Oryzias latipes: one gene and its partners. The protein of the gene in region 1 purifies or fractionates together with the protein of each later gene. This does not show direct contact. Links are inferred from orthologs where the notes say so. Each region holds a gene or a part of one and is shown on either strand. Other genes may lie near its edges.

Region 1 (7,679 bases):
ATATCCGTTATTTTTAAGTGTTTCTTGCGTTCGCCATTCGTCAATGTGCGCAGATTTCTGTCGAGGGTTTCGGTTGACGGATCTTTACGTGAATTTGATTTTGAGCTGTTTAGAAGACCGCAATATCCGTAAGATCTGACCTCAACGGTTCTGCTATCGGTACTGGAGAAGTCGCATTTTTTATGTGTCCCGCAACATTTAAACTGGAGCTGTGACGGTGTGGGATTCTTGATCACCGCGCTGATGAAGCGGCAGGAGTCGCATGAACCACCGATGTATAACTTTTATATCCCGTCTACGGCGCACCTCTCACGGTAAAATTATATTATTTACGCACAAATCACTTATGAATTGCATATAAACAGCACAATAATCACACGGTTCATGTTGTGCATTGATTTACGTGTTCTTTGCGTGGTGTGTTTCAATTTCACTTAAAGACCACGACTTTCCTCACTTTTTCCACGTATGACCATTTTTATCTGAGCAATATGTACTTAAGGAACGTAGTGGGTGTGTGACACGGCCTTAAGATGCTGCTCCAAAGTTCAGCCTCTGTGTTGCATAAGTCTCCCTCACTCGTGCCGTCATGAACACAACTCCTGCTTTCTTTCAGCAGGGAGCTCCACACTCCTTGCTCGGTTCCAGTCTCATCTTTAAGGCATCATGGAGGAAGAAGAGGCCTCTGCCAACGGTGAAAGGGAGAACTTTGCATCAGATCACTATGCCGCCGAAGCCCTGGCTGCAGACATGGATCCCTGGATTATTTTTGACTGCAGAAAAACTCCCAAATCGGAGTTTGATGCCTGGCTGGAGAGTAACCGGCCCTCCCAAGTGCACAGGTTTGGTGACGAGAAGAGTGGCGTCGGCCCCGTGGGGTGGATCTCTGTGAGGGGCCCCGACTACCATCCCAGTGATGAGGACGTTGAAGATCTTCAGGAGAGCTGGGAGAAACTCCTGGCCAGTGGCAGACCTGTCACCTTCCAGACCGTGAAGGAGCTGGCCCTCAACCACAGAGTGCTCAGTGGGAAGTGGCTGATGCACCTGGACTCTGGTTTTAAACTGGACCACGCGTGGGAGTGTGTGGCCAGAGCAACCTTGGAGGGGAAGATCTGGTGCGCCAAAGTCAGCCCCTTGGACCCGAAAGGAGACAGTCGCCACGTCATATGTGTCTATAACAGAAACTTCACCGACGAGGAGGACGTCATGAAGCTGGACTCCGTCATTCGCTCCACGGGGATCAAGTGCCCGCTGTTCTACAAACCCGACGTTTACACCTACCTGGGAATCTACCGAAGGAACCGCTGGGAACTTAGCCCCACCATTTATGAGAGCAGGTTTGACCTGGAGTGCGTCCCCCGGCGTTCCCACATCCTCAACAAAGTCACCAACCTGGAACTGACATAGTCCAGTCCGGACGGGCAGCGCGTTTGGTGGGACTGACGCCTAAGAGTTCTGCTCCTGTTTACCGGGCCACGGAGCGGCATTTGCAGATGTTTTGATCTTCCTTTATTTTGCTTTTTTGGAAAGAAACCAATCTGTAATTCCAGCAGTATTTGATTTGCACTCATTTCTTGTGGTTGGAACAACCTACGGAGCTGGAAGGGTGACAGAAATCTGAACTTTGAGACGTTTTTGATAGTTTGAGAGAATTCGTTCTGTTTGAACCACGATCAGCCAAATAAAACACTTTTGAAGAATTCCTTTACATTCTGTCGATTTTATTGTGAAAAAAGGTTAGGCATAATGTCTGTGTGTGGAGGGGGGGGCTGCTGACCAAAAGCAAAACAGAAAAGTCGGTTCTTTGGACAGTAACCGTAGAAACACCAGGATAACAGAAGCAGGAACACGGACTGGTCTGCAAGCACATGTTCAACCTGTAAATATTTACATGTAGACCTTCATGTGGTTCTTTACACACGCAGACAAAACCTTCGGATGACACTTCAAACCAAAGGGACACTTGATAAAAAAAAAAGGGTATAATGCTAACATGCCAACATACCAGGCTGTTCATTTTTGGATTCAAAACCCCAAACTTCCTCTAAAAACAGCAGATAAACTTGTTCAGATACAGTACAAAAACCTGCCAAACACGTGTCAGCGAAGCGACGCCATCATCAGCTGATGAACACGCGCGGGTCGTCTTCCACATAATGGTTCTGTAATGATAAGGACATGATCTGAATCTGTGGTTGGGGGGTTTCTTTGTCCACAGTGAGCGGTCTTTCTGTTTCCCCTTGGCATCTTTTCAGTCCTGAAGGCAGAAAGCAGAAGTCTTTGGTGAAAGGGTCCTTTAGGTCTGGCGTCCCGCCACAAACTCGGCGTGATTTTCATTTTCGTAAATGGACATGAGGCGGTCGTCGTCGGCGGACAGCAGCTGGTAGTCGTCGGGTTCTGCGTAGCCGCTGTGGTGGTTGTTGAGGGGGGCGGCGTCCATCATGCCCTCGCTCTGCAGCAGGTTGACGATGCTGTTGGGGTAGTTCATCCAGGTGCTTCCTGGGTTGCCAGCAGGGTCCGAGGGGTTCTGGCCCGCTGTGGGATTCTGGGGAGGTGCGGTGGCGTGGGGCTGCTGGCCCGAACTTCCAATGGGAACGGCGCCACCCCCGCCCACGTTCAAAAGGTCCTCAAAGTCGTCCATGTTCAGGCTATCCAGGGTGATGGGGACCTGGCCCTCAGAGAAGCTGGGGAACTCTGGGAGGTCGTCTTCTGCGGGGTTTGTGGAGAACTGCGAGGCCTGGAGGGGGAAGGAGCTGCTGGCCTGAGGGGGCGCACTACTAGCTTGAGTGGCTTCTGCCTCCTGATTCATGGGGGACAAAATGTTGGGGAAGAACTCCTGAAGGTCTGCTATGTTGACTGTGGGGTATTGGTTGCTCGCCGTGGAGGCGCTGATGGTGGTGGAGGAGGAGGGAGCGGCTGATGAAGAACTCCCTGCGAAGGGGGTCTGTAAATCTTTCTTCAGAGTCTCCATAAATCTCCAGGGTTGGCTTGAAGTTGCGTCGGGGAGCTCCCTCTTGTGCGGCGCAGGGGCCTGGATCGGCTGAGTGAAGAGGAAAGGGGCCTGTGGTTTGGCTGCACTGGCACCAGGGGGCGTCTCGGTCCCTGAAAAACAAACAGTTTCAGTTCAACAGCTGCAATTCCACTCTATCCTTACATACAGGCAGGCGGCAACAGCCCCGCCCACAACTCAGAGGATCATTTCTAACAAACTCCTGCCGCGCTGCAGAAACTATGTCCTGGAGACGACCGCAGATGTTTAGATTTAGGCCAAAAACGTCATTAAAAGATTACTGTTAACACTTTGAAAATAGATAAAAACATGATCAGAGTGAAGCTTCAGTAATATTTGCAGTAACTAAAGTTAAGGAACAGTTATTGTCCAAGTTTTTGTGTTTTAAGACCAAGACTCAGCCAGAGCCGCAAAGTTCCACTACATGTTTAGAAAATGTGATTCATGTTTTTGTGGCCATCGAGGCATTCATTCATAAAATCTAGCTCGTAAATATTTACTATAATTGAATTATAACTGTGTTATGTTTTTCTATGTAGAAACAAATTTAAGATATTTTACTTTTGACAGCATTACGTACGTAAGTTCCTTTCAAAATAAAACATCCTGTGTCAAATGAGAGCCTCCTGCTACGGAAGATTTACTTGAAAAAAAATACAAGAAACCCAAGTAAAACCATTGACTGTATATGAGAACTGGACTGAGTGACCCCCCCCCAGCGTTCCAAACAGGAAGTACCTGCTAGTTCCAAGAAGCCAAAATAAGCAGTTGTTACTCAGTCATTCTATTGGTCAATAATTCTTGATATGATACATTTTTATAAACGTATTAATCTTTTTCAAATGATTTTTTTTCTGTAGTTATTCAAATTATAAAAGGACCAATCAGATGCCTCAATTAAAGTAGGTGGTGCCCTGTTGAAATTTCGAAACATTTGATTGACAGATTCTACTGAGTCTGCTTATAAGTCGTAGGGGTGTGGCCTTCGAACAATTTCACTCCTGATTGGTGAGAATAGTTGCAATAGAAACGTTGGCTCAGCTCGACTCGGACCAATCCAAAAAAAATATTAAATAAAAGGCGACTGAACTGACTTCATTTGGTTGGAGGCTGAAATAAACCATTTTCTATCAATGACATCACTCAGTCCATTTCTCAGATACAGTCGACAAGTCAAACATCTCCTCTTTTTTTGTCCTTTAGCTGTTTATTAAATATAAACATGACAACATTGGCGTAGAATCCGGATTTTCTGTAAAAATCTATGCATATAGATGCAATTCTTTGGTTCTGAATGACTGCATCTGAAGATCAGAGTAGGAGCTCTACACTCATTCTTATAATAAGCTACTCTGACAGTAGATGAAACCTTTAACCATCACAGGCTCGGTTACATGACTAAACTTCATTAAATAACCTATAATTTCTTCAAGCGATTAGCATTTTCTTGAAAGCCAAATTGTCCCAATAAAGGGTTGCAGACCCGTGTTATTTTGTTTTCAGTGGATTTTCCGTAAATAACAACATTCAAACCTTAAAGGAACAACATCAGATGCAAAATATTTAGGATCAAAACTCACCGGTTGACACATTCACAGAGGAAAGTTTAGGTGGGACTGTTCTCCTTGCAAAGTTCATTTGCCGCCGGTCTGATGGGATGGAAACTGAAACAACAGATGCCGTTTTTTTGGTCATAAACACTTTAACAAAAACCTTCAAAGAACAGCTAACAGTATCTAGTGAGCGTACCACTGGACAGCATCGACCCCAGCTTCAAGTTCTGGAATACATCTGCTGTCCGCTTTCTCTTCTCATTCAGCCGGTATTCATCTTTAGGAAGAGTGAAAGATTTCACATGAGGATGAATGCATGACATGTCCTAGGAAGGTAGAGATGTGTGCATCTTACCTGGGTCAGCTGGTAGGTACTGGAAGTCCACAGGCTCGCTCACTTCACGGTCAGACGGCCGCCGAAGCTGCATCTTCACCTTAACTGGCTCAACAAGGTTGGTGTCACGGTAGGGCGGCGTGCGGAAGACGATCGCCACCTGCCTGTGCACGTCCGCCTGGGAGAAGGTGCCCTTCCCCTCCCAGGAGTCCTGGAAGAAACGCACCTCGATGTCCTCTGCAGGGAGACGGGAACATGGGAGAACACCAAAGAATTGAGGAGTGTGCGGTGCTTTGACAAATCCCAGCTGGTCACAGAAAGACACCGCCGTCTCTGGAGTTTCGCTGGTAAACCAGCTTCCGTAGGGCAGCAGTCTGAAAAGCCGCCTGAATGCTTTCCTCACACGTGAAAAGGCGAATTTTCAAAGATCCAACTGTGCTGATGCACCAACGGCTTTAAGGCGACAGATTCCTGTGCTGACGAAACGTGAACGACATCAGTACCTGCAAAGCTGTGAGGTGCGAGGAAGATAAAGAAAACAAGGGCAGAGGACCAAGAGGTGGAAGTTGAGAAAGGAAAAGTGCTGTTTGGCTTTTAGGGAGGAGGTGACACATACTATGGGAGATCGGGAGGGTCATCTGCAGCTAAAGTGATCATGGAGCCAAGGAGGGTCCAGATGTGGACCGCCGGTGTAGGTACCATAACCGTTCGGCCTACAACAACCGTCAGGGGTCCTTCGAGTAGTGCTGAGGTCACATTATGTGATTGGCTGTCCGTTGGTCCGATGACGTTTTAGATAGTGATTGGTCTGGACAAATTATGACACTACCATAGAAAAAGACATTATGAAGTCCAGAGTAAGCAAACAGAGCTCCGACACAGAGCGGGGTTATCTTGTAAACGTGCTTTTATTATTGTTCTGATTATTATTAAGTCCATTTGTAGCCAAACGGCCTGCGTTCTGAACCCTTCTCCGGACCGAACACTCTAACAAAGCACCTTCCCCGCCTATGAACACGAAGCTACAAGACTCTGGCTGCTCTGATCAGAGACACGGTTCACTCTGTGGAGCAGCAGGTTCATTCTAACAGCCACAGATCTTCTTACAAAGTGGGTTGTGGCTAAATCTCTCTATAAACACTACAAACAATAATGTAGGACAGAACTTATGAAGGAAAATAACTTTACGTTGCAAAAAGAAACGTGAAATGAAAATATGTAGAGCCCGAGCAGATCTCCATGCTACATAGTTTGTCCAAGTGGGGCCACCGTAGTGTGACTGGAAGGACCCCGAACGGTAGTTGTAGGCCGAACAGTTATTGTATCTACACCGGAGAGAAGAGTCTGTTGGTCCGGATGTGGACCGCGGTCCGCCATTTGGTGATATCTGGTTAAGGGGCTCTGAGGCAGAGCTGGAGGCAGCAGAGATGAAGATGCTGAGGTTCTCTTTTGGAGTGGTCCGGGTGGATCTGGAATGACCATCAGAGGAACAGATCCTGGTTGTGGAGATCAATGCAGAGAAGCAGATGGAGAGGGTTTGGACAGGTTGAGAGGAGGAACAGTGATGATGTCGGCGAAAAGATGCTGAGGTTGGAGCTACCAGGAAAGAGAGGAAGACCAAGGAGGAGGTTCGTGGAGGAGGTTGTGTTGAGTGTTCCCAGAATGCAGAAGGATGTAGTTTCTGTTTTACTAGTCTATATCTGCACGCTTTCACATTTAACCCCTCGACGCCTAAAAATGCAAATATGCATCAAACCACTTCTGCTCCAGTCTTGCCTTAATTTAGCATCGAAAGCAAAAACTTAAGCCAATGTTTTCACAGCTGGTAACAAATTCAGGCATCAAAGGGTTAAGACACGGAGGAACACAGCATCAGAAAAGTTTGATGCTAAGTTATGAGAGCCCTCATGTCACTGGGAAAAACAAACAGACCTTGATGTGATCATTTGGTACTTTATTTTGAAAGATTCTTTTGTAGTAGGAGCCAGCGGACATGGTCTGTCGACCCCGTCTGCTGCAGAGCCCCCTCACGCATCTGCAGTAACGTCTGTTTGGTGGAAGCCTCACCTTTTTGCACTTTGTCACACAGCAGAAAGATTTCATCGCCTCCTTTGCAGGTTCCAGAGTTCCGGTTGATTCTGCAGATCTTTAACTCGGCTGTGTTTGGCGCCCCTGCAAGAAGCAAAAGTATTGAAAGACGGATACTTTCAAATAAAGAATTGTCTAAAGTTGTCCATTTGGGAAGAATTTGAGTTTTGCAAATTAATGTCAATTCTTCAAAGGTGGTCAAATCATCTTTTGATTTATTTTCAAAGTGTTCCCAGTGGTCCTCTAATTATGAGTTTGCCGTTTGTAGACAAAATAAAGCATCTGTTTTTTGGACAAAGTTTCTGCAGAGCGGTAGGAGTTAATTAGAGATTCCCCTCTGAGTTGTGGGCAGAACCGTTGCTGTGGAGTAAGCACGACCTCACTTCCCGTGATCCATCTGTTTACACTCTCACCTGCTAGCTTAACCTAGCATTAGCGGTGCAACAAAAATGGCGAGCAATATTGGAGCTATCCAGCCGTACAGTTTGGAGCCAGATTCCAGCTCAGACGAGAAAAACGAAGACGTTCACGCCTCTATTGGTCTGACAGTGGATGCAGATACGCTCGCAGATGTGATCTTTTTCAAATTACATTTTTCATCTGCTCTTGATTCACAATGATTCGGAAAACAGAAATACCCACAAATGCAAATTTAAGCTAAATTTTTGTCAGAAAAACACCACAAGAGCGTGTA
Region 2 (7,922 bases), on another chromosome or scaffold:
ACAGATGCTTTCAGCGGTACTTCTGTCTCTGTGACCCAGTGTGATGACTTGCTGTCCCTCATTAGTCCCAGGAGGGACTATAACGCGGTTTACTTTTCACGGTTTCACTTCTTCACGGATTTGCATCGTGCATTGTGTTCTGCATTCTGATTGGCTAAAAAGTCACTCTAATTCTTCTCTTCCTGTGCGTCAATAACGTTGCAGTTTAATTTGTACACGTACATAAAACAGCTTGCCAAATTTACATTATGTACGTGCAAATTCTCTTGCAATTTCGAGTATCTCTAAAACCCATAGAAAAAAGAGCAACAACTGCCTATCACTGTGTTCTTCTCCTGAACAAACACAGCTGCACCGCGGGCTTCAAAAGAAGAAAACACTGCAGAGCGGAGTCAGGATGCAGCGGCTCAGTCTGAATAGCAGTGAAATACACCTGACTCACTATTTGTCCCACTGTACTTTGTATTTTTTTTTATTATCATTTTAAATTTTCTCCCGTTTAATTCAATTACTCTCGGGTCGCGGTGGGCGGGGCTAATCTCCGCGATTTGAAGCCTTCTGTTCACATCGATGATTCAAATTATTATTTGACAGAACAGTACAGACGTTATTTGTTGAAAAAAAAACTTTTATAAAGTACTTTTATTTGTGAAACAAATGCTTGAGCCTGTAAAATGGTTTGTTCTTTCTTTTCAATGTATAATAATGTATAAGTATTTAATTGTATAATAATATTTAAAATAAAATAAAGGTTTCTACTTCACGGATTTTGCCTATTACAGGTTTTTTTGGAACGTAACCCCCGCGAAAAACAAGGGTTTACTGTATACTACTTGTAGAATCGTTTTATTATTGTCTCAATGATAATAAGGAAAGTGTGAAGTTCACGAAGAGAATGATCAGGTTCTCCTTCATGTCTGTTTTAGACTCCACCCACTGATCACCTCATCAAGACGTCACGGGCCAAAGCTGAGTCCCTGATTGGTTGAAGCAACACAAACTCTTTGCCATAGTTAAACTCTGGAAACATGGTGCTGCACTGTGAAATGTTGCCACACTGTGTAGCCCCACTGTCTAAAATGCCCCACCACTAAAGAACTGCACCCCCCTGACACTTAAAATGAGCCACGGGCCTTCTAACCAAATCTGTAGATTGACTTAACATGTAAACTAGATGCCATGACTTGCAAATCGCGTTTGGTATGAGCCATTGACTATATAAGAAAACTGGACTGAGTGGCCCTCCTCCCCATGGCATTCCAAACAGGAAGTACCTGCTGGTTCCAAAAAGCCAAAATCGCAAAATCCAAAATCGACTTTTATAGAGAAATAAACAGCTGTTCCTCAGTCATTCTATTGGTCAGAAGAACCATACTTTTTCTGATGACGTCATCCCTTTTGTTTTTACATCATTCTATAGTTCAGGTTATGCAATTCTCTAGGTTATGCAGTCTATAGTTCAGGTTTATCACTTATAAAGTGACCAATCAGATGCCTCAATAAAAGTAGGTGGTCCCACGTCCAGCGTTGGAAACATTTGACGGATTGTAGCTTCACTGACAATCCACTTCACTTGACTTGTATCCTGTACAAAATGCTTCCTTAAGTTTGTCTGAACGTCAACAGAGCCCACTCACAGCGCTGCATCTGCTTGCTGAACTCGGACATGTTGTCTGGCCGTATGGATCTGAGGAACTTGATGTAGTCGTCACTGTGGTATTTGGTCATCTCGTCTGCGGTGGCTTTGTGTGGCCTCTGAAACCAGGAGAAAGGTGGAAGGGAAGAAACCAGAACTGAATGAAAGCAGGAGCGAACACAGAACTAAGAGCAAACCGCCAAGCTAAATCGACGTTTCCTAATGTCTGAAGTCTGCTGAGGATCAGGTCACATGGAGACACGCTCCTCACAGCAACAGAGCACAGGAAAACATACATAGATCTCCATTTTTCTGTAGAGGCCATAGTTCAGGAGGAGGTTGTGAGTCATGCGGATCCGATGTGGCTTCATGGGGTGTCCTTGTCCATAATAGTAGTTTCCAACATCACCTAGACACAAGAAAAACACAAAATCAATGATGCAGATTGCCAACATTAGCTCCACCAGCTTTTCTGATTCAACTGTTGGCATCTGTGTTGTTCCAACAGAGAACATGAGCAGCAAACGACAGAGGAAGACAACTCAGAGCACTGATCTGTGGAACAACCGAAGCTTCAGAACGATGACTCACATCCTCACCGTTATTTATTACTGCTCAGTAAACAAACCAGGAACAGTTTACAGCAGACAGAAAACGGGACTGATCCCTGTCCAACAAACTGGACCCTCCCAACCAAAATGTACTCTGACATCTCATAATGTCAGTTTATTCTTTACATTATGATTTCAGTCAGATTATTAAAATATGAAACCGCTCTAAACAAGTGCCAGTTCTAATGGGCTGAACTTTTATGACACTTATGTTCACGAAGATCTACATCTGCATCAGTAATCTAGTCATTTCAAAGTGATGTGCACGTCATTAGTGCACGTGGGACTGCTCTAAGCTAAATGTGACCGCAGAAAAAGGTGAAGTGAATTGCTTAAATGAACATGGTGTTTTTAACACGTTCTGGCAGCATTATTCTGAATATGAAGAAAATTAAACAGAAAATTGAATTTCCGAGTATTTCTTTGTTCAAACTGTTGTGAGTCAGGAGCGGATAAAAAATATGCAGTTGGGAATAGCTATAAGCAAGCCCCAAGCTCCCTGTTCTGTTCCACTCTAAAGGCCTGTTCACACCGGGACGAATTTCGCCGGCGATTTTCGCCGACGTTTAACGCCTCGTGACTAAACAAAGGGCACCAACGAGAGTGTGCACATCGACGCGAAAAAACGCCAGGCGTTAAAGCGTCCAAAAAAAAACGCCTCGGGTTCGTTTTTTTTTTCCGACGAAATCTACTCGACCAATGAGAACGGCGCTTTTGCTCACGTGTCTGGAGCTTCTGAAGTTACAGTAAAACACAACTTGGGGGCGCTCAAACACAAAACTGCCTTGCTGAGCACACATACCAGCGAAGAAGATAGACGCCAAGTAGCGTCTACACAGCCGCGAAGCAATAATGACGGACATTCTAAAACATCCCCGAACCAAGCACCAGTTGGAGCTACTGGTGCTTGAAATATTCATGTTTTCTTTGTTTGATTCTGACAAGCGTGTAAAAACTTGCTCTCTTCTTCTGAGTGAAAAGCGACTTTAAGAAGCGTAAAGTTGCGCAGCGCCACCTTGTGTACAGGAGTATTTCAGTTTTACATTAAGCGCCATCTAATGTCAGGGAATGAAATTGCATGTTCACTCCACTCATCGTCAGCGAAAATCGCCTGGGTGTGAACACAAAAAACGTGGCGAAAAACGCTGGCGAATAACGCCTGGCGAATATTCGTCCCGGTGTGTACGGGCCTTAAGGCATCCACCTGCAGACTAATGGATCCATGAACGTCTTTGTTTTCCTCGTCTGAGCTGGAATCGGGATAGATCTGATATTGGCCATCTTTTTTGTTGCACTGCTAATGTGAGGATGGGGTTGTGAGGGGCTGTAAGCTAGTGGTAGAGTAGAGTGTAAACGGGGGGGGGGGGGGGGGGTGCTCTGCATCAACAGTCCCACCCACAACTCAGAGGTTAATGCTCTGCAGAAACTATGTCCCAGAAAACAACACAGGTTTTTGATTTAAAAAAAAATAATAACTTAAAGCGATCGGACACGCTTGTGTTTGGACCTGAACGCAGGTTTAGAGCCACCCGGGGCTTCTGCAGACGGTCACGTGACGTGTAGGTGAGCCAGGCCGCGCGTGCTCGTCTGGAAGCAGTAGAGGCTGCCAGTCGTGTGTTCTGTGGATGGTTGCATTGTGGGACGGCAACCTCGTTAAAGACGTTAAAAGCTTTTCTCCTCATACGTTCCCGGATGTGGGTTCTCCTCGGTGGGATCTTGAAAGATCACAACAGAACGCCGGCTGAACTGCCTGGGTCTCAAACAAGACTGACGTACGTAGCCGTAACTCACACAACGAGGGGTGGAGACAGACGTGAGGCGCCGGCTACTTAACGTACAGTGCCCCCCTCAGATGTTGGCTTTACACCGTTTCAATGAAGCAGAAAAGACTTTAGCCCCGGAGAAATGAGTTCCGACCGTAACTGACCGATGCTAGCACATGCTCGATGCTAACAGCTAGCGTTAGCCTGGCTCGTGCGCCACACAGCAGCTCTTACCGTCGTAGTAGTAGCAGACCTTCTTCTTAGTTCCACCTGCAACCGTGTACGCCATGCTACAAGCTCCTTTAGCTCCACAGGTGAGGCTCAATTCGCGTTAACAGAAAGACAAGAGCTGGATGGAGAACATCTGCACGGCGTCGCTGAGTGGGAGGGGCTACGTGGGCTGGGCGGGGCAAGGTTGGGCTCCGCCCCTGCGCCCCACTTTAAGTTTCTTTGTCCTTGTTCTTTTGTTTTGCGTCTTTGGGGCAGGGCATCAACACATGATATGTGGATTGCCAGTTCTGTCTGTGGTAGTCTAGCCATGCCACCAGGAGATCATTTTAGTACAAGACTCTGCAACCTTCTACCCCAGTTTGAGCCTCTTCCTTCTGACAGACTCAGAGTCGCACAGCCCCACTTCACACTCAATTCATGCTTCAGGCACGTGAAAATCTCCTTTATCTGGACTTTGCTTTGCACTGTTGAACCTTATTTAAATTTGTTCTTCACCTCTGCTTCTTCAACTCCTCCCTCAAAGCCACAAAGCCCTTTTTTTTTTACTTACACCACTTGGTCCTCTGCTCTGGCCTTGTCCTCGTCTATGGAGTGATTTATGTGTCCCATTATTCCAAGCGTACTTGAAATACTTGAAATATTTTGTGTGCTCAAAAATATTTTGCACTTGAAACATAAAAATGCACTTGAGACTCAAAAATAAGTGCAAACAAAACAGTTTTACTCTTGAAACCTAAAAATATGTCCAATCAAAACAATTCTCTATGTGTCACAAAAGCCAGTTAATCACAGACATGGGCATAAAGTTTGATGCCGATTGGTCAGAAATTCTTCCAATCGCACACAGACCTGATCCAGTCTACGAGCCGTCTAAAGTCTACAGTTTTTGGGTTTTCTGGCCCGTCAAGAGTCGTAGAGAGGAGTGGCTGCTCCTTAAGATGTCTTGTAGTTCCCTTGAGGCTTGCACAACCACCTTAAAGGTTATTGTTTTGCATTTCGTAAGTACATGGTGAAGTATTTGTTAGGATAATGGAAGTTACAAACTGATGAGGTATGGGTGTTCTTGCTCAGGGGGGCGGAAAAAATGAAAAATCAACATGAAATGCCTGTGTCTTACATACTTCACCTGTGCCTGCCGTTGTGTGTTGTTAAAGTACCTGACGACCTGCCGCCCGCACCAGCCCGTAGAAAAACTGAGCATGAACATTCACTGAGTGGTCTACAATCTTGAAATTTCGTGCGGGCCGCCTGCTTGTCTCATACAGATTTGGCCCTTTTTCATCTGCAGACAGCCCGTGCCCACCCCTAAGAGCAGTTGGGACTAAGGCTTTAGCTTTCTCTTCTCAGCATCTACAGTCAAACTGGAGATTATTCATCCAATCAGGCAATTTGGGCTAAAAGATACTTTATTCCATCAGCAAGTTTCTTCTTTGTTGGAAATAATACAGATGTTAACCAGGAGCAGAACATTTTGCACTTGACTTGTCAGTCAAGCTGTAGCTCATGAAATCTCTTTTGCCACTGTGGTAGTACTTTCCAGAAAAAAAAAAATCTTAGAAAATACATAAAAGATTAGAAACCATGAGGAATACATGTTCATTTATCGCTCTTGGTTTTCTTAAACCAAGCTTTCATAAAATGTGAATAAGGATGTTTCAATAAAAATGGATTGGATGTTTCCAAACACTCAAAGTGCTTACAACATGTATCCATTATTCAGTCACTCCTCACTGAATGGCCATAGCTGCCCTGGGACAGACTGACAGAGGTCTTGCTGCCTACGGCCCCTCTGACTATCCCCGGGACATTCCTACGCATTCACACACCAGTGGAGCCACACTAGAAGCAGGCAGGGTAAGGTTGCCCATGGACACAACAACAGTTGGCTGGGGGGAGCGGGGATCCAACCACTGACTGATTATTAATACACTTCATTGAACGTCTAATCCACTCTGATATTTGAAGCACAGCACATATTACTTAAAAAAATGGAGTGTTTAGCCATTTAATGATTCAAAATGACTGTTGAGGTACAGGACCTGATCCAATCACTTATCCGCAGAGCTTAGTGGTACATTAAGGTGAGATCATCAACAGGATGTACAAGAGGAAACCAAAACACAAATAATTCCAGAAAGGTTTCCATGTTCTTTAATCCACTTATTTTTTAACAACACATGTATTACAGTGAATATTTGCACATGGACACAGAATAGAAGTGGTCTGACAGACGTCTAAGGCCAGCTCCAGATTTTCTTACAGCTTCTTGTAGCTTTTTTTTTTGCTTTTGCTAGAATTAGATGAAACAGCTTTTAGAAACAGCAAACTTCTGTTTAATCCCCAGAAAGTGTCAAAGCTACAGTAAATACTGAAAACCTAAAACACCAGATCTTTATTCTTGAAACTCTAAAGCCCTTTGGACAAAGAATAATAAAAAAAAAGGTTGTTTAACAAATGTATTTAAAAATCCTGTGATTGAAGAGCATGAACCAAAAGAACTTACACAACAGTGAGCTATGAAATTATAACATTTGGATGTCATGGGTAGGACATGCAGTTTGGATCATATAAACAATGTGACAAAGAATTTGTTTGTTCATTCATTCACTCATCTGAATTCACTTATTCATTTCTTCACTCATTCATTTATTTAAGAATTCACTCATCCATCCATTCATTTCTTCTCTCATTCATTTCTTTCATTATTCTGAAGTGTGTTATCTGAAAAAAAGCGTCAGTCTTAAAGCTAATTACACCAGCATGAATTCCTTTAAAAAATAAACACTCGATTTAGTCACAGAAATCGTTTGTTTCTGGATGTGCATGAATGAGTGCTTTTAGCTATTTTTATTTTAATTCTCTTCAGTGAAAAATGATTTTGCTAAAGGAACTTTCAATTTGATCATTTTTTTCAGTAAGATCAACTCATAGTTCAATTAACACTTAGAAAAATGAAAACAAGATTCCACTAAATAATCTCATTGCAGGACTTTGTGACTCATCAAGGCCAGTTGAATGTTCTGCCAGTAATCTGATAAAATTTCTGATTGAAGGGATGAAAGAACTTCTGCAGTTTAGTCACCACAGCTGGGTCCACCTCAGGATGGATGCGACCCTTGCTGCCTGCTAGGCACTTGCTGAAGACAATGTTGAACCGCAGACAGTAAAACCCCCTGGTGACATTGAAGTACAGGTTGTACTGGCTGATCCTGGACGGGAGGTTGAGGAAGTGCTCTACCAGCTGCAGCTCCGGCAGTGGGTCTGTTATGAGGCGATCCCCATCAACAATGTGGAACTGTTCCACAGGAAAATACTTCAGCCAGCGCTCCAAGTGTTTGGTGTAGATGCTGGTCCGGACAGCTTTGTACTTTGTGTTCACCTCACAAGTGTTGGAATCAACAGCTAATTTCTCAAACTTGTGGTAAGTTTTGTTTTTGCGCTCTTTTCCCTCCAACACCTGCGTGTAATCAGACACCGCTCTAGTGGTGGGCTCCCGTACGATGATCAACAGCTTGATGGAGGAGTTCATCTTGAAGATGCGCTCAGGAACTTCCTCTGTGATGAAATACGCAGGACTTTTCTCAATAGTGATCTGATGGGGGAAGGAGTAGGGCATTTTTCCTCTGTACCACTCGATGCCACGGGCATAGTTTTTGTCGTTGTCAAAGAAGTGTATCTCCT
Region 3 (7,776 bases), on another chromosome or scaffold:
GGCACGCCCAGCGTATTTTCTACGTCCCAAATAAGCTCTTTTTTAAAAAACTTTTTTCCTCTACCCCTGATTCACAACAATTTGTATAAACGAATACTCAGAAATGCAATTGAGCTCAATTTGCATGGAGTAATATTAATGCCACCACGTTGCACACAAAACTTTGTGTTGCAAAAGAAAATATTAAACATTTGCATAAATATTTTCATTGGAGTGGGTCTAATGAATGAGGGCTTTGGGGTTTGTTGCCAAACTGACATTTTTTTCCTCCTTTTTTGACTGATGGTCTGTCTGACTTCCTTTGGCTGCTCCTCCTTTTCCACTGTTTCTGCACTAATTTGTTGAAAATTCAGGTTACAGTCAAACACTCACTGGTCTCATTTACAAAACGCTATGAAGTCATTTAAGTGCAAGGGCAGAGGTAAGGGGAATAAATACACATCAGAAAACCATACAGTTAAGAACAGAAAACATCTGTGAGCATATTAGAATTTGCAAGATGATATTTGAAATAGTTAGAATTAGTGTCTGGTGAAGTATTAGTTTAAACATGAGACTCGAGAATTAAAATCATTTACTAAAGATTAAGGATGGAAGAAGTATCTGAATGCAGAAAAATCAAATGCGAATTTTTAGTTGTCTGGCATCCCTGATTAGCGATCTTTATAAATATAGTAGTATAAATAACAATACAAGTCATGCAGGCAGTGTAATTATTAGTATAAAATGGCAGAATATTGATTGATTTTTAGTATACAGTGTTCCCTCAGAAGTAACTCTAAAAATAATCCACGATAGGTGAAATCAGTGAAGTAGTCATGTCTGTTTAGTACAATATTTTAGATGTTTAAAGGCTGTAAAACTCCTAACTACACATTTGATACACTTTTCTCAGACAGATATGAATATTTTCACCCTTTTCTCTCTTATTTAAACTCTCAAAGTTCAAACCTTCGTATAAAAATGAGTCCAGGATTATGGAATGAAAACAAAGATCTGATTGGGATTGAAGATATACATCCATCTATCAAGCTGATCCCATTCTATACAGGAGACACGGCACAGAGGAGATTGACTGACAGGGTCTACAGCCAATCAGGACACAGAACACAGTGCACCAACAAACAGAAAAAGGGCTGGAAAAGATGAACTGTGATATAGTGAGAAGCCACTATATCACATATAGTACAAATGATATTTAAATGTATAAAAAGCAATAAAAATCAGTGTCTGGCATTTCATTAAATATTTATCCTTTAAAAATGAAAATAATTTACAAAGGATCAATTATTATAGTGCTGTAAGGGAGTTTAAATAAACAAAAGATGGATCCAATACCTCTGGATTTCCCTTTAAAGAACTTCTTTGTTTCAATATTTTGTGTCTGAAAAATTCTTTCCTTTATTTATGTTACAATGAACATGAATTAAAATTCCACCGTATTCCAAATGAACAGTTTTTTTTGGTAAAAACAGGTTTCCCTAACTTAACTAAATTGGTTTTGGATAGAAATAAAATAAATAAATAGATCTAACAGCTGAATATATTCTGGATGGATTCAGTAATGTAGCAGTGTCCTCCAGCCCTACCCTGTTGCATGCTGGTAGATGTCAAAAAATACAGTTACCTGTACAAGCAGTCCATGTAGTCAGCGCCTTTGCTGTATTCCTCCCAGTATCTGTGGTACATCACTAAAACCTTTTCCTCCGACTCCAGAACTTTCTAGAAGTACATTCAGATATTATTACTAAAAAGCAAGAACTTATGGGGGAAGAAGCACTTCTTTTTTTTCTCCCGCAAGAGCGTGAAAGGCTTACCTTGTATAACTGTCGGACATGATTTTCAAGAAAAATTTTGGTCTCCGTGTATAATCTTTCCCCCAGGGGTTCTGGGTATGCAACACATAAGGCATAAATGTCGCTGGTGTCTGAGGTCAGGATCACAAACCAAGAAAACATCTTTTTTCAGACACATTTATCTCAACAATAGCTAATCTGTATTTAGAAAAAGATGAAGAACCCATCTACCCTATAAAACAGTGGTCCGCACCTTTTTCAGGCCATGGGCCGGTTTAATGTCAGACAAGAAACGAGGTTCAAGTGGCCGTCCGATTTGTTTTTTTAGCTAAAGGTTTTCCTTAACTTTTGAGGGTAAAGTCGATCTTCATCCTCTGTGAAATATTTGCCACTTCTCTAAACTTTATTTGTACACTAGATTTCAAGTAGGAACCATTAAAAAGGGATATAGATTTTCCCGTAACCCATAACTGTCAAAGTAGAGGCCAAAAAATCTGATGCCAACTTCAGCCTCGTCAGACTTTTAGGGTTCCACAAATATAAAAAATAAATGAATAAATAAGACATTGGTCCCTAAAACTTTTTTCTACTGAAACAAACTTTCCATATGTGTTTTTTTTAATGAACTTTGCCAGCCTGGGGGTCTCAATTTAACGGTCGGAGCAGCAGCTTTAAGAAAGTAGAGGATGGTTTTTTAAACGTGATCGAGCAACTTAACATGCATCAAGAATGAGTGGAATGTGGTGAAGAGAGTCGAGGACTTTTCCCAAATAAAACTTCTTTCAAAATCAGATGATAAAGAAAATGGGAAAAAATGTAGGTCGTGTTTTTTTCTCTCTCCCACGGACTGGCCTGGAGGTTGGGACCACCGCTATAAATTGCCTACAATCTTTAAAAAAAAAAAAATCTTTAAAAGGATACGAGAATCTGTCATTCCAGGTGGCTCTTTCAACATAGTCGAGCATCACAACAGCCTTGATTGTCGTCAGTAACTTGTTCCATGTTTCATCAAAGTCCACCACCCGCGGCTTTAAGGACATTGTAGTTTTTCCTTCAGCCTGACTGAAAAGAAGAAAAGAACAGGAAATATTGAAAGATGTTAAAGTCCCATTCCTTTAACTATGATTATGCAGCTTTTAAGTCCAAAAAATTAAAAAAAAAAAAACTTTCATTTTCTAGGCCATACTTTCTGCAGAGCAGTCCGCCCCACTTTCCATCACCCATCTACTCTCCCACTCTCGTACAACCCCTCACACACCAAGCCCAACATTACCAATGCAACAAAAATGGGAAGCAATATTGGAGCAATCCAGCTGTACAGTTTTGAGCCAGATTCCAGCTGAGACGAGGAAAACAGAGACGTACATGAATGCATCAGAATGGAATGGAGCAGGGAGCTTGTGGCCCGGTCACTGTAGCTTCTACGTCACAAATACGATCTTTTTCAGACAGCAGTTTTTCATCTGCTCCTGACTCACAACAATTTGAATTTAAAAAATACTCTGAAATGCAGTCTTAGGTTCAATTTTCTTTATATTATGTCCTCCACCATCAGAAAAACGCCACAAGAACATGTTATAAACACCAAACACAATTTTTACTGGAGTGGGTCTCTAAATGTTTGTTTTGACAGCACAGTCACCAAAATAAAGGCTGTATGACAAAAAAGAAACTGATAGTAAAAAAAAAGAAGAAGAAGGAAGCATCATCAAATACAAAACAAAAGTATACGAGGATTTCAAAACAGCACCTGGGAAATTAAACCAATAACACGATTTGAACATCTTTACCAAATAAAACATAGTAACAAGGACATTTTTAAAACAATTCTTTTGATCATGGAAACAACACTCCATAGCACTATTATGTCTGATAATCATTCTGTTCAACAAGAAGAGGCTAACAGCTAAATATTTTGGAGAAAAGTAAAGAGAAAACCTCTGAGCAGCAGCGAAACACTTCATAAAAAATCTATCAACGTTCAAATTAATGCAAGCAGTTGTAATTATTACGTCAAGTGGGAGAAAGAAGGCCCTGTATGTGTTCTTTCATGTTTGTCGTCATTCATTTCAATTGCTATAACGCAACATTAAACATCTCAACATTTGTCTTGAAAAACCACGTCAATATTTATTGTGACTACAATTATGCTACCGAATGCTGTCTCTCCATTTTAGCATCCCTCTGACATGTTTGTTGAACCTAGCTAAAAAAAAAAAGGTACAAGCTAGCGGAATGCCAATCCAAAAATAGGATGTTGAGCTAAAATGCTAGCTTACTGCGCGTTAGCATGTCACTTCTTCCTGTTCAACTGAAGGCAATTTTAAGGCAAAAGCTAGCAATTAGCCAGCTAGCTGGCGGCTAACGATTGCTCAGCTATAGTTAGCAAATTGTCATACAAGAAGTTTCCCTACGTAAACCTTGACATTACGGCAAAGCGTGGCGCTGATGTTGAAAAAATCTGATTACTTATTATAAGCAAAGACTTTACAACTAACCTTAATTCAGTAATTACTTGTTTAAAAACTCCGGTTTCTCCGCTGTCACAGTACTGATTTGACTCACAGGTCTTCCCAACCACTAGGAATATACCACTTGACTTAGGTGAACGTTACAGACAAGTGTTTATACTTTGTATGAATTTTAGGAAACAGTAATTTGTCTGAATTGTATCTAATATAAATTCATTAACAACAGATCATAGATATAAGCTTTACATTAACTAAAGCGCGGCAACGTTAAAAGAAAAACCCCAACCAAAAAATGGTATCGCCCAAAACTACGGAAACCTTAAGGAATCGAATTTTTCAAACACCGGTGTATTCTGTTTTTATATGCTCTATTTTTTTTGAGGGGAAATGTGCATTTATTCCATTTGTGTTTAATACAAATTAAATTAATTGATAAATACAAAAAATAAACACTTCATATTTGCCTCACTTTTAAATAAGTAAAGGTTTTTCCAGAAGCTACTTGTGCCAAAGTAGCTTGGCTTTGCACGTTCTTTAATCTCTTTGGTAAATTTTCTGTGATTTCTTTTATTACAAATTTTCACTCTCCCTTTTTTTGCTTTGAAAACATGCATTGTTTGGCTTCCACCACCATAAGAATATGCCGCTTAAATTTGAATACATCCTGACTGCCTGCTACTTCAAACTAAATCCCAAATGTTTCTTTATTTTTGTTGAAGGTCAGACTGTGTATTGAATCAATTAGTTAAAAAAAAACGTTCAAATGTCATAACTGACTATTAGTACTTACAGTGTTGTTCTTTATTTACTACATCCCTGATTAGCTAAAGTTAGTTTTAGTGCTTGTTTGAAGAAATATATCATAGCTGGTAAAATTAATGCATTTTGGACACAAATTTTTGTTAATCAAAACATTTTTAACTATAAATTTGCAATTTTTTTGTTTTGTTTTGCTCTGCTTTGTTAGAAAAAAATGGAAAATATTCAACCAGAAGAAGTTGTTTTTAGCTTTTACCAAAAACTTGAGGTATATTTTGAATTCCTTACAAGAGTATTTTTTTTTTGCTTGCTTAAAGAAGGAAGCTGTTATTTTACAAAAAGGAGGATCAGATGCTCCTTTATATAAATCTTCATTTTTCTTTTATACAAATACAGTCTTGTTTTCCATAGAATGACTTCCAGGGTGATGCAGCTAAATACAGAAGAGAGTGATCAGTCACAATAAGCTCCAGCTTCTCCCAGTTTGATTCCTTCTTACCTGCAAACTAACAACAGTAATGCAGGTAAACATGTCGATAGTGGTTAACATGACCACCTCCACACCCACTGGTTTGTGTTTTCCTTGGTCTTTCAGGGCTGTGTTTTGATTCCCATCTCGACTTTTCCCCTTCGGATCTTCAGGGCGTTACAGATAACCAGCCATTTACAAACAACCCACAATTTTTAATTGTAGGAGCCACAAACACGCCAGTTGGTCCAGTTCAGACAGGTAACCCCTGCTGTTTTCTCTTAAAGTTATTTGTTGTCAAATGTGATTTTTTTATTTGTTTTGTGACAGTAACAGCAATACAAATATATATATCCTTAATCTCTCCTAAAAACATCTAAAAATATTTTCCTGTAATCCATGTGGATTGTATTAAATACATACATTTATATAGACTATTTCATGCAACATTGTGCAAATCTCTCATTTCTTTTGTTTAAACAAATGTTTAAACAACATTTATTTTGAATTTTATAACCACTCTCATTCTTCAGTTTTGCATGGGAGCAGTTCACTCCCTAGTTTACAAGAATGACGCCAATTAACAAGAAATCAATTAACTATATTATATTATTACATTATACAGAGGTGTTATTAATGCATAATTTAGCTGCAGTAGCCCGGAAGCGTCTCCTCAGAGTAAAATGTCCTCAGTTCTAGTCTTTACTTACTGCCATTAAAAAAAAAAAAAATAGATCAAACAGTGAGGAGGATTCCAATCTGTGTGGTTTTCATGATATTACGGTTCGTCAAGATCGTTATTGTCTGTAATGGCAAAGTATCTAAATAACACAGAGTTGAACTTAACCGCCATTTTTTATTTTATGTCGCTGTAATTCAGATGGGGGAAGCTGTTGTTGAAGAAAACATAATTTTTTGTGAACGTGGAGTGATCCATTCTTTAAACAGTACAGATAAAGGAGGCAAAACTGTTGGGAAATGCGACTGGGAGCTAATCTTTTTTAATTATTATTAATCAAGTACAAGTATTCTAATCTAGGAGAGAAACTGAATGCCTACATCAGAGACATCAAGACCTGGATGACAATTGATTACCTCCTTTCTGAACCCACAAAAGCCTGAGGTCATTATACTAAGTCCTAAAATCCTCAGAGATGCTCTGTCTGCTCAGATAGTCTCTCTGGATGGTGTGAGTTTAGCCTCCAACTCCACAGTTTGAAACCTAGGGGTTCTATTTGACCAGGATTTATCATTTAATGCTCACATATCTCAGGCATGCAAAACTGCATTTTTTCACTTCATTATAGCTAAGATCAGAAATATACTCTCTAAAAGTGATGTTGAAAAACTCATCCATGCATTTGTTACGTCTAGGCTGGATTACTGTAATTCTTTGTTAGCTTTGTTAGCATGTCCTAAAATTTCCTTAAAAAGTCTTCAGCTTGTTGAGGAGGCAGCAGCAAGATCGTTAGCAGGAACTAACAGAAGAGAACACGTCACTCCTATGTTAGTTTCACTTCACTGGCTCCCAGTTGATTCTAGAATCAAGTTTAAAATTCCCCTGCTTACCTACAAGGCGTTACACGGTATGACCCCATCCTATATTAAGGACCTCATAGTGCCTTACCAACCAAACAGAACACCTCCCTCACAAAATGCATGTCTGCTTGTGGTTTCTAGAATTAGTAAAAGTACGGTTGGAGGTAGAGCATTTAGCCACCAAGCCCCTGTCTTATGGAATAAACTCCCAGCTCATGTAAGAGAGGCCGACTCAGTTTCTCTCTTTCTACAGGCTTATTGTAAGACTAGCTAGTGTTCAGATAATATTTACCTTACTGTTAATTTTTTTTAAATTAAACTTAACAATAACAATAAAGTTGTCACTAGGATGCCAGAAGTTTTAAGCTGGGGAAACTATGGTGCACTGGGGTTCTGTCCTCTAGTCTCGTCTACTTCTACTCTCTTTCTCTCCTCTATTCTTCATAATTTATTCATCATTTAGTTCTCCATGCCTCTGTTTGGTGCAGTGTGATTCGTGTACTTTCGCTCTGTGCTTCCAGATTTCAGTTGGCTCATCCGTGCTCCTGTACCTAACCGTGTACCTCGTCTCTGGTTCGTCTGCTCCTCCACTTGGCTGTGGATCCTGTCTCCGGCTCGTCTCGCGCCCCCAGCCGTCCCCCAGCTTCATCTGGATGAAGATCATCTGCTGGACTTTAAATATGTAGTTGTAGAGTTAGATAAGCTAATTCTCTATAGGAGTTCTGGCATTGCCTGTCCGTCC

What was found. The genes of interacting proteins can lie anywhere in the genome.
Region 2: the proteins of putative transcription factor p65 homolog (region 1) and hdac2 purify together in Homo sapiens (affinity purification with western blotting; 8 studies listed by BioGRID). This does not show direct contact. The link is inferred for Oryzias latipes from reciprocal best matches to the Homo sapiens genes RELA and HDAC2.
Region 3: the proteins of putative transcription factor p65 homolog (region 1) and cul2 purify together in Homo sapiens (affinity purification with western blotting; 3 studies listed by BioGRID and IntAct, with this or other methods). This does not show direct contact. The link is inferred for Oryzias latipes from reciprocal best matches to the Homo sapiens genes RELA and CUL2.

Annotation. Positions count from the first base shown.
Region 1 is NC_019876.2:27,222,583-27,230,261, reverse strand, and holds the end of putative transcription factor p65 homolog, read right to left. Parts: intron 7,070-7,679; coding exon 6,965-7,069; intron 5,135-6,964; coding exon 4,919-5,134; intron 4,841-4,918; coding exon 4,760-4,840; intron 4,675-4,759; coding exon 4,591-4,674; intron 3,103-4,590; coding exon 2,297-3,102; 3' UTR 1,705-2,296; downstream 1-1,704. Other genes in the region: UPF0696 protein C11orf68 homolog, read left to right, coding at 667-1,407; UPF0696 protein C11orf68 homolog, read left to right, coding at 1,404-1,407. UniProt on the Homo sapiens protein: NF-kappa-B is a pleiotropic transcription factor present in almost all cell types and is the endpoint of a series of signal transduction events that are initiated by a vast array of stimuli related to many biological processes such as inflammation, immunity, differentiation, cell growth, tumorigenesis and apoptosis.
Region 2 is NC_019882.2:21,611,939-21,619,860, reverse strand, and holds the start of hdac2 (histone deacetylase 2), read right to left. Parts: upstream 4,420-7,922; 5' UTR 4,300-4,419; coding exon 4,245-4,299; intron 2,046-4,244; coding exon 1,933-2,045; intron 1,756-1,932; coding exon 1,638-1,755; intron 1-1,637. Other genes in the region: hs3st5 (heparan sulfate glucosamine 3-O-sulfotransferase 5), read right to left, coding at 7,243-7,922. UniProt on the Homo sapiens protein: Histone deacetylase that catalyzes the deacetylation of lysine residues on the N-terminal part of the core histones (H2A, H2B, H3 and H4).
Region 3 is NC_019878.2:9,090,831-9,098,606, forward strand, and holds the start of cul2 (cullin-2), read right to left. Parts: upstream 4,420-7,776; 5' UTR 4,295-4,419; intron 2,859-4,294; 5' UTR 2,837-2,858; coding exon 2,718-2,836; intron 1,921-2,717; coding exon 1,818-1,920; intron 1,723-1,817; coding exon 1,628-1,722; intron 1-1,627.